Rattus norvegicus: one gene and its partners. The protein of the gene in region 1 interacts with the protein of each later gene in a pairwise test. Links are inferred from orthologs where the notes say so. Each region holds a gene or a part of one and is shown in the gene's direction. Other genes may lie near its edges.

The links.
Region 2: the proteins of Rundc3a (region 1) and Ccnl2 interact in binary tests that used the Homo sapiens proteins (3 or more experiments, as listed by UniProt). The two-hybrid records come from large-scale screens. The link is inferred for Rattus norvegicus from reciprocal best matches to the Homo sapiens genes RUNDC3A and CCNL2.
Region 3: the proteins of Rundc3a (region 1) and Rap2b interact in binary tests that used the Homo sapiens proteins (3 or more experiments, as listed by UniProt). The two-hybrid records come from large-scale screens. The link is inferred for Rattus norvegicus from reciprocal best matches to the Homo sapiens genes RUNDC3A and RAP2B.

The regions. Positions count from the first base shown.
Region 1 is NC_086028.1:87,851,482-87,855,684, forward strand, and holds the start of Rundc3a (RUN domain-containing protein 3A), read left to right. Parts: upstream 1-1,300; 5' UTR 1,301-1,537; coding exon 1,538-1,644; intron 1,645-4,203. UniProt on the Homo sapiens protein: May act as an effector of RAP2A in neuronal cells.
Region 2 is NC_086023.1:171,706,166-171,709,814, forward strand, and holds part of Ccnl2 (cyclin-L2), read left to right. Parts: exon of another isoform or gene 1-1,312; coding exon of another isoform or gene 1,313-1,449; coding exon 1,450-1,549; intron 1,550-1,906; coding exon 1,907-2,011; coding exon of another isoform or gene 2,012-2,019; intron 2,020-2,096; coding exon 2,097-2,244; intron 2,245-2,686; coding exon of another isoform or gene 2,687-2,689; coding exon 2,690-2,798; intron 2,799-2,879; coding exon 2,880-2,972; intron 2,973-2,978; exon of another isoform or gene 2,979-3,554; intron 3,555-3,636; exon of another isoform or gene 3,637-3,649. UniProt on the Homo sapiens protein: Involved in pre-mRNA splicing. May induce cell death, possibly by acting on the transcription and RNA processing of apoptosis-related factors.
Region 3 is NC_086020.1:147,748,117-147,750,542, forward strand, and holds Rap2b (ras-related protein Rap-2b), read left to right. Parts: upstream 1-1,270; coding exon 1,271-1,822; downstream 1,823-2,426. UniProt on the Homo sapiens protein: Small GTP-binding protein which cycles between a GDP-bound inactive and a GTP-bound active form. Involved in EGFR and CHRM3 signaling pathways through stimulation of PLCE1.

The DNA.
Region 1 (4,203 bases):
ACAATTGGAATTCCAGGCTAGCCAGGGCTACATAGTGAGATCCTGTCTCAAAACAAAACAAGCAAATAAGCAAACAACAAAACACAAAAACAGGGGCTGGGGATTTAGCTCAGTGGTAGAGCGCTTACCTAGGAAGCGCAAGGCCCTGGGTTCGGTCCCCAGCTCCGAAAAAAAGAACCAAAAAAAAAAAAAAAAAAAAAAAAACCAAAAAAAAAAAAAACCACAAAAACATACAAAGGCAATGATTTGACACCAAAGACAAGAGACAACAACAAAGGCCAGGTTGGACACTTCATGGAAATTCAAGTTTTTCTGAGTATCAAATGGCAGTATCAACAGTTTTAAAAGACGACTCACAGAGTGGGAGAAAATGGTGCAAATCAGATCTGATAAGTCATTGATATCCATAATGTATAGTCTTAAATTCCACATTAAGAGGAGCTACCCAATCGAACACGGGCGATGTTCAAATCCTGGAAGTGGTTTACCAGGAACGGAGCAGGCAAACCGGGACGTGAAGAGCAACATGGGAACCCAGGGTAGCACAGAAGCCAAACTGGGCTTCCAAGTCCCGCCCAGCTAAAAGCTAACCATTTTTGACGGCCCTCCCTATCAATGTAAATCTACTTAAATCCTTAAAATCTACTGGTCGGTGAGGTGGCTGCTGCTAAGAACCTGCCTGGAGTTCAGGATGCCAGACTGCCAGCAACCCCAAATCCCTATCCTAGTGGTTCCAAGCTCTCGACTCAAATGCTTTCGCTGAGTTCCCATCCCCCACCCGTGGAGAGACTGGCTTGCTTGGCTAGCGCAGATGAATGCAGCCCCCGCAGAGGTAGACAGAAGAGGCAACTTCTGTGCTGCCTTTAGTTTCTGAAGTGTTAGCACCTTAATGCTACCTTCAGTCTCTGAAAGTGGCCTGGGTCGGGCTGGCAAGCCTGGGATGAGTGGATAGGGGGTAGGGGTGGGATAAGGAGGTGAGGGTCTCCATTCTTCAGGGTACAATGAGAAATCTAAGACAGACAGCACCGACTTCAGGTCAGAAACAAGGGAAGCGTCAAAGCTGAGATGCTAGGCGAGGATCCCCAGCCCTGAGTGTGGGGGTGGAGAAAAGGGCCCTTCTCTATACAATCTCCGTTGTCTCTCCGGGGGACCCCCTCCGCTCTCTCAAGGGCCTCAGTCCTTCCCCTCCCCCAAACCCTGCGCCCTTTGTGGATTGGTCCCAGGCTGCCGGGGCGGGGCCTTATGGCCCTGACGTCACCGGCCGAGGAGGGAGGGGGAGACGGGCGACTGGGGGAGGGGGTGACGAGCCCCGGCTCAGCACCTCGGAGAGCTCCCTCCCCGGCCTTGTTTTGCTCCGGAATCGCTGCTGGGGGAGGGAGCGAAGGGGCCGGCCCTAGGTGTCCAGGCCGAGGGATGGCAGTGAAGAGGACGAAGGGCCCCCGGGGGCAGAGGGCCCAGGCGTGATCCTGCGAGGGGGGCCGGGGCGCCGGGTGGGGTGGGGGGCAGCGGGCGGCGGCAGTAGTGGCCGCACATCTGGATGGAAGCGAGCTTTGTCCAGACCACCATGGCTCTGGGGCTGCCCTCCAAGAAAGCATCTTCCCGCAACGTGATCGTGGAGCGCAGGAACCTGATCACCGTGTGCAGGTGGGCGCCGCTAGCGGTCGGGGTGGGGTGGGATGGTGAGAGTGGTTGGAACCGGCTAAGAAATCTAAGGGTTGAGCATGCCCATGAGGATGCTCTGCAGCCGCTGAGAAAAGGCAGGTCAGCAAGGGTTAGAAGGAACGCGCTCTCTATCCTTCCCGGGTCCGGAACCCGGAGGCAGGCTGAAATGTCGGTCCTTATTCTTCTTGGCTAAGCCAGGCCTATGTCTGGCCTGGGGTTTGGGGGGGATGAAGAGAGTTTAATTGGCACTGCAGTTTCCTGTGAGAACCAGGAAGTGACATTGTGTATGAGTGGGGGAGGAGGGAGGATGGCTGGCTCTCTTCCTGGCAGTGGGGGCAGGGTGGGCAGAGGGGACTCAATGGGGTTGGGGGGTGGATGTCCTCCAAGTCCCCTCTTGCCACCTCTGCCAGCATGGCCTCTTGGAGCTTTCCTGAGAGACTTTCCTATGCTCGACCCTAAAGCAAGGATGGTGTTTCTGGGTAGCAGCAGCCAGTGACAGCACCAATTGTGCACAAAGGCCCTGAACCCATCCAATGAAGAAGGTGAGGGTACTCATTACCTTGTTCTAGGAAGGCAGAAGCTGAGGCTCTGAGTCCAAGTGACGATTGGGAGCCCAGATCCCTAAATCCCTGAGGGTGGGGCGGTTGCAGGGCTAGGAAAATTCTCTTTCTTGGACACCAGGAAGTAACCCTTCTCACTTCGAGCCTTCAGTGACTCACCCTCCCTGCCCTGCCCTGAGGCCCGAAAGCCACCAGCTATGCAGGCTCTCTCCCAAACCCCCACCTGTCCTTGCTGCTCCGTCTGGGATCTCCACGCCAGCTGCCTTCTCCACCTGCAGCCTCCATGTTCAGCGGGGTGCTGCGTCTTGGCTCATAGTACTCCCAGGCTCAAGACTGAGTTGTCCTTTCTTGCCAGCCCCACTTCCCTGAACATAAACCTCAGGCCTGCTCCTTCTCCTGGAAATCATGCCCACCTGATGCCCAGTCTCCCGTTACCCAGTGTTCCTTTGGATTCTGAACATGTACCGAGCCATGTTGCCTCTGTGTCAGAGCATCCCTTTCCCTGTGTCTCGAAAGTGCTGTGCACATCCCCCTGTAAGAAGGTGGCTCCAATGTGCGTCTGTGACACAAGCACAGATGCCATCCCTGCCTTTCGTACTCCAAACCTGCCTGTGTGGTTTCTGCCCTTGGAACTACAGAGTCCTAGGATCGAGTTTTTGCTTCAGTATTTATCTGGGCAACACCGGGGCAGTCTCCTAGTCATGCTCTGAGCCTTTGGTGTTTTTTCTTAGGTTTTATATCTTAGGTGTAAAAGCCACACCAAAGAATGGGTCATGGTGTGTCACATTAGATACTAGCCGGTGCCTGGCACACAGAAACATCTCAATGACACCCTTCTGGCCCCTCTCTTGACAATCTAGGTGCATCTTTTTCTCTTGCCTGCCAGGAGAACTGTGTAGGAAAAGGAGAAAAAGCCACTCGACCTGAGTCGGAGAAAGAGAGGTTCAAGGGACTTAGAGGTAGCTCAGAGTGGGGAACAAGGAATAGTTTAGGGGCTTGGGGATATGACAAATTCTCCAAATCCTGAGGGACCCTGCTACCTCATTATTGTCACGTGGTTCTCCTCCAGCTTCCAGCAGCTCCCTTTAGCAGGCTGAGGGCTCCCCTGGGCCCTGGCCTCCCTGTCTCCATGGTAACCCCAGCAGCTATCCTCCTCCTAACCAGGACCACACCATGGGGTTCCTAGAGGCTCGGAGCAGCTCTCCACTCCCCCCTAGGACAGACAGCAGATGGTTGCCAAGCTGACCAAGCCCCAGGCCTCTACTGAAGTCTGACCCAGATGACCACAGATCGGTGGTGTGCAAAACAAAGCCCAGTTGCTGGCCAGGCCAGCCTTGCCTCCTCACCTGGCCTGTGCCCAGTAATCAATACACTCTCACCTTCTCCCACCCTTCTCTGGGATCTGAACTAAAGTGGAATGGGGCAAGTGCTAATATTTCTATTTTCACCCAAGGAAAAAGGCTTTGAATCCAGCAGCCTGCTTCCCCCTAGCACAGTCTAACACTGACCGATCTGGTCTCAGGCTCCATCCTCTGGTAACCCCAAAGGAAGGTGATGGGGAGGGGGTTCCTGGTTGTGCTGTTTTCTTGGGAGCCTTAGTAACTAGTGCTTAATGACTGGAGGCTTCTAAAGTAGAGGTCAGAGGTCACTCAGCTCCTCAGTAATTGTTTGTATGTTTAATTTTTTTTTTAAAGGCAGGGTCTATTGTAGTCCTGGCTGTCCCCTAATACACTGTGTAGAGCAAGCAGTCCTGGAACTTACAAATCCTCCTGCCTCTGCCTCCTGAGTGTTGGGATCAGATAAGGCATGTGCCGCCATGCCTGGCTAGTACTCTCTTCTTTAATATTATTTATTTATTTATCTGTTTATTTAACCGTGTGTACATGTGCCACCGTGTGAGTACGGAAGTCACAGGACAGCTGACGGGAATGGGCTCTCTCCTTCCACCATGTAGGTCTTGGGATTGAACTCTGGTCAATGG
Region 2 (3,649 bases), on another chromosome or scaffold:
ACACAATTGGCATGGTGAAAATTCAGGCTGTTCCTGGATACTATCATCATTTCTCCCAAGCCCTAAAGTTGCTCTTTTCAGCAACTTAAGTGGGACTCATTCCAGTAAAGGTGTGCATCTTTAAATTAAAATACTGTAATTTATTTGAAATATAGCATTAAGTTTAAATAGACCTTTGAAGGATTTCATTTGTTTTTAGAACAAAGTTAGTGAATTAATATATTTGAATACTAAAATTTCCTTACTAGTTGTAAAGTTATTGATGGTTCTACTTGTGAATGTTTAAGCTGATTAGCTACAGAATGGCTCCTGGGAGATGGGTAGTGCTGCTACTATTCTGGCTTCCCTTCTAAATGTAGAGGCGTTGCTTCCTGGGCCAGCTGCCTCTTACAGGCATCTGTAGAATTTATTGTTTAGAATGTCAGTGGGTTTGAATGTTACCTTCTCTAAGGTTTTAGGGCAGAGATAACTGGGTGGGAACAGTTAAATCTCTCATATGTGGTACAGCCTAACATTAGGGTATGCTGTACCATTGGATATATTGGGCAATGTATATAACCTCATGATGTGTTTTCTCGTGAATTGTTTTTGCATTGTTGATAAAGCTAGTATACTCCTTGGTTTTAGCCTATAAAATTTAAATATATAAAGAAACTATTAAAGATGTAGTCAATTTTAAATGACCTTTAACTTTTCTAAAAATGTGAAGTTTTGTACTTATATATATCAGCTAAAGTATTATAGCATTCTTTAGTGTACTTAGTTTGATGCCACTTTTAGTGTTTTTGTTGCTTTTGTCTGATTTTTATGAATGTTCATTTTAAGACTCCTTGTTGAAATGGGACAGTTTCGTTCTTTGATAAGCCCGAGAAGAGGATTCCCTTGGGTGTTGACCTCCTCTGCATGATGTGCCCATGCATCTGAACTGCACCCAAGGGCCTTTCCTTTCCCAAGTGGACTCCCTCCCTGGAGCTGTGGCTCAATCATCTGGAGAAGGACGGGGCTACAAATGCTGCCTGAAGAAAAGGAACACAGGAAGGAGGACAGCTTGTCTGACAGTTGGGAGGCTTCATGCTCAGCCTTCTCATTTGAGTTTGCATGTTTCTCTGCACTATGGATTTTGAACATTTAGATTTCTTTAATCAACTACATTTTAACTAAGTAGCATTTTCTTTCTAAGCATTGTGCTTTGCATGATAGCAGGTCATAGAGAAGGAAAAGTAAAGTTAAAGTCGGTTCTCGTTCATAGCAACATTATCTGACATTCAGCCAGCTTTTTCCCCCAGTGATTTATTTCTTTCCTGTATTCAGAATGTTCCCTGTTACCTGTGGGGATTCCCAGAGTACCCAGCACAGTCCTAGTGTAGAACCCTTAAGAATAACAACCTTTGATGACAGGTGGTGGCATAGTTGCCCATGGCATTACAGTCTTCCTGGTTTTGATTTCAGGAACTACATGAATGACAGCCTTCGCACAGATGTCTTTGTGCGGTTCCAGCCTGAAAGCATTGCTTGTGCCTGTATCTACCTTGCTGCCCGGACACTGGAGGTAAGTATGTGGCTGCCTGGGTTTTAGTCTAGATTCTAGACATTTCTCCATCCTGTTGGAGATGTTGATATATTTGTCAAACTAGGTTCATTTGCAACAAAGGTTCTTTGTAACTGACAGGACATTTTCAGGTGTCACCCTAAGAATCTTACTGGCCTTGAAGTGTTTTTGTGGTGGTGGTGGTGGTGGTGGTGGTATTTTTTTGAGACAACATCTCTGTTATGTAGCTCTGGGTGTCCCCAGACTCAGAAAGATCCACCGGCTTGTTTTCTGAGTGCTGAGAATAAAAGGGATGCACCACTATACCTGGCCTTGGAGTTTTAAGGAAAGTAACATGATAATATTTTGTGTTCACAGATCCCTTTACCTAATCGTCCACATTGGTTTCTTTTGTTTGGAGCAACTGAAGAGGAAATTCAAGAAATTTGCTTTAAAATCTTGCAGCTTTATACACGGAAAAAGGTTCCTCTGTATGTTTTTGTGTTTGTTATGTGCTTGTGTTTGGCCAGAAGCATCTGGTTCTGAATGGATGATTCTGGCTTTTCAGGTTGACTTGACGCATCTGGAAAGTGAAGTGGAAAAGAGAAAGCACGCCATCGAAGAGGCAAAGGCACGAGCCAAGGGTCTGCTGCCACCAGGGAGTGCGCCAGGCTTGGACAGTGCTACTGCAGGGTTCTCACCCGCTCCCAAGCCGGGTGAGTGTCCACAGTTTACACCCCACAAAGGGATAGCAGTTTGTGACCTGACTGGTTTGGGGGTGTGAGGTTCACCTTTCTTGGAATTGAGCCTGAAGCGTACGTACCTCAATAGTATGCTGTAAGTCAGGGAAGCCCTGACGGCTTTGTGTTCATATTAATATGGACTGGCATTTTAAAATGCTGGTTTGTTTTTCATTTTTTTATCATATTTACCAAGCTGACTTGTCAACTGATTAAGTTTTTAAACTTAGACTCTATGATTATATTGTTGGAACACAGAATATGATAACTCATTCCCTGGGCTTTGAGGAAAAGTGGTGTGAACAAAAGACCTGTCTGAGTCTCGTGTATATTTTCATTCTTGTCCCAGGGTCTTATCTAGTATATTTTGTATTGAAGAAATTTCTGATTATATTTTTTAAATTCTTACTTGATTCAGTAGAATCCCCCAAAGAAGGTAAAGGAAGCAAGTCTTCCCCACTCTCTGTAAAGAATGCCAAACGGAAAATGGAAGGCCCAAAGAAAGCCAAGGGCGACAGCCCTGTAAATGGGTAAGATTATCATTGTTGCCCAGATAGCCATTGAAAGCTGAAGATGCTCCCGGTCTGTAACTACTCTGCTTCTGTTTGCAGCTTGCTAAAAGGGCAGGAGAGTCGAAGTCAAAGCAGGAGTCGTGAGCAGAGCTACTCAAGGTCCCCATCACGGTCTGCTTCTCCAAAGAGAAGGTGTGTCTGGAACTTACCCATAAGAGCCTTACCTGTTGTTTTCTTGGGTAATAGGAGGCGACATAGATGTCTCTTGGGATAGTGAAACATTGACTCCTGTTTGTTTGTTTTGAGAGATGGGGTTTCTCTGTAGCCCTGGCTTTCCTGTAACTGGCTCTGTAGACCAGCCTGGTCCCTGAATGCTTTATCTCTTTGTTTCAATAATTTATCTTTATTTTATGTGCATTGGTGTTTTAGCTGTATGCATGTCTTTGAGGGTGTCAGATTCCCTGGAATAGGAGTTACATAGTTTTGAGCTGCCATGAAGGCACTGGGAATTGAACCCAGGTCTTCTGAAAGAGTACTCAGTGCTCTTAACCGCTGAGCTATTTCTATAACTCTGGGATTTTAAGTTTATGGTTTCTCTCTCTCTTTCTCTCTCTCTCTCTTTCTTTCTCTCTCTGTCTCTCTTTTTTTTTTTTTTTGAGACAGGGTTCTTTTCTGTATTCTAGCCCTGGCTGTCCTCAAACTCATTCTGTAGAGCAGACTGGCCTTGAACTCAGAGATCTACCTCCCTCTGTCTCCCATATGCTTGGATTAAAGGTGTGTACCTACACCCAGGGAGATGGTGGCTCTTCACCTAATGTGGTTTTCTTTGAACTCACGAGTTTGTTTGCTGTGGTAGTGGCATTTAGTTC
Region 3 (2,426 bases), on another chromosome or scaffold:
ACAAAACCTCGGGAACAGCCAATGGGAAAACATTTGGGGGTGTGAGACTCACATCCTGGGGCCAATGAGTTGGGAGTCTGGGAGAGGTAATTTGAGCTGGCGTGTGGGTGTGCGGTGCGAAACCTTCCTACTTGCAAGCCCCGAACCTGCTCTGCCGACTGAGCATGCCCTGACTGGGTGCGGGAGCCGCGGGCCTTCCGCGGGGCTCGATCCACTAGCCTGGTTTTGGCTCTAGCCAAAGGGGAGGTAGGATGACCCGGCAACTCCTGCCCCGAAGGCTGTGGCGACCCACAAATTCCCACCCGCTAGCTCCTGGTCCGGACAGGGACTCAAGCCGAGTTCTTCGAGGGGAAATGACACGGGAACATAGTGCCAAGTTGGGGCCCGAGCCTCTCTATACCTTCCCCGGCCTGAAAAATGCCCTGCAAGTGTATGATTCTTAGAGGTGCGCAGCGGCCTGGGTTTAGGAATAGGTGTCTTATCCTTTAACAGCGGAAGCCGACGAGGAGGTCACAGCCAGCTGCTGTCTGCTGCGCCCTCAGGAGGCCCGCGGAGCCCAGACGGTGGTGGTGGCTTGGGTTTGGAGAGCTTTCCACCTACAAGCACAGACAAGCCGGGTTGCCCAGTTCCAAGATTCGCGCCGCCCCGCCCCCGCCCCGCCCAGTCCCTGATTGCCCCTCCCTCTACCACGCCCACTCCCGATGCGGCGGAAAAGCTGGAGCGGAGCTCGGGCGGGGCACCGCGGGCGGCGCACTGGGCATGCTCCGCTGGGCGGGGAGGGCCGGGCTGCGCGCGGCGAGTAGGAAGCCCTCGCCCAGCGAAGGCTGCGGGAGAGAGAGGAGAGAGTGATGGGCCGCGGAGCTGGACGCACGTTCCGTGGGGACTCATGCCACGCGTGTCTCAGCCGGACGCACAATTAGCAGCCGCCTCTGCAACCAGCCGCCACCGCCTCCCGGCCCTCCCAGGCTGCCGTGGCGAAGAGCTCCAGCCGTTGTCTTGCTCCGACTGCGCGCATTGTCCTCAGGGTCCTCCGCCAGGACTGCTGCGGGGCCCGGGACCCGCGCCCTAGGGACGCGCCCCCGCTGCCGGTCGGCCCGGCGCGGGGCTCTGCTAGCCTGTTGGCGAGCCCGTGCTACCGGGCTAGTCTCGCCAGGGTTGTTCCTGCGGAGTTGAGGAAGGGGAGAAGTCCACCCGCCCGCCCAACCCAGCCTTCCCCGGCGCGCAGCCCCGACGGGGCCGCGGCAGGCGCGACGAGGGCGCCGACGGAGCCATGAGAGAGTACAAAGTGGTGGTACTGGGCTCGGGTGGCGTGGGCAAGTCCGCGCTCACCGTGCAGTTCGTAACAGGTTCCTTCATCGAGAAGTACGACCCAACCATTGAAGACTTTTACCGCAAGGAGATCGAGGTGGATTCGTCGCCGTCGGTTCTGGAGATCCTGGACACCGCGGGCACGGAGCAGTTCGCTTCCATGCGGGACCTGTACATCAAGAATGGCCAGGGCTTCATCCTCGTCTACAGCCTGGTCAACCAGCAGAGCTTCCAGGACATCAAGCCCATGCGGGACCAGATCATCCGCGTGAAACGGTACGAGCGCGTACCCATGATCCTGGTAGGCAACAAGGTGGACCTGGAGGGCGAACGTGAGGTCTCCTATGGCGAGGGCAAGGCCCTGGCCGAGGAGTGGAGCTGCCCCTTCATGGAAACATCGGCCAAAAACAAAGCCTCAGTGGATGAGCTATTCGCAGAGATCGTGAGGCAGATGAACTACGCGGCACAGCCCAACGGCGACGAGGGCTGCTGCTCGGCCTGTGTGATCCTGTGAGGCGCTGTCTGCCGCCGGGCGCTGGCCACGCTCTGTGCACAAAGCCAAACGCACCCGATTCTCTTAATGTGATTGTCTTCTTGCTTTGAGATTGGAGACGACTTTGTTGTATTGGCTGGGATGTCCGAGGAACCTGGCTGACTTGTGTGGCCAGCATCCCTAGCCTTCAGCTGTGGTCCGAGGGGGTGTCCGTTGCTGAGCATCTGAGACCCTGATGGAAAAATGGCTCTATACAGCGTGTACGTTCCTCGTTGATTTTGGTTAATGCATTTTTCCCCGTTAAAGTAGCCATTAAGGCTCTGTATTGGCTGCTTGACACCGGCAAGCGAAAGTTTCAAGCCTGGAAAAAAAAATGGGGGTGGGGAAGCAGAGGAAGTGGAGGGGAAGGAGGCAGTGGGGGAGGGTTCCCCCAAGCAACTGTTCACAGTTCCAAGTTTTAACACAAGGAAAGAGGTCCCAGAAAATCATACGAAGGAGCCAGAAGAGGGGACAAAACTTTTTTTTCCCTTGTTTTCCAGGATTATTTGGAAATTACGACTAGGGGTTCCTTTTCTGCCAGCTTGGAAGGGCAACCCAGGGACTGATTAGGATTCTGAGGATGTCT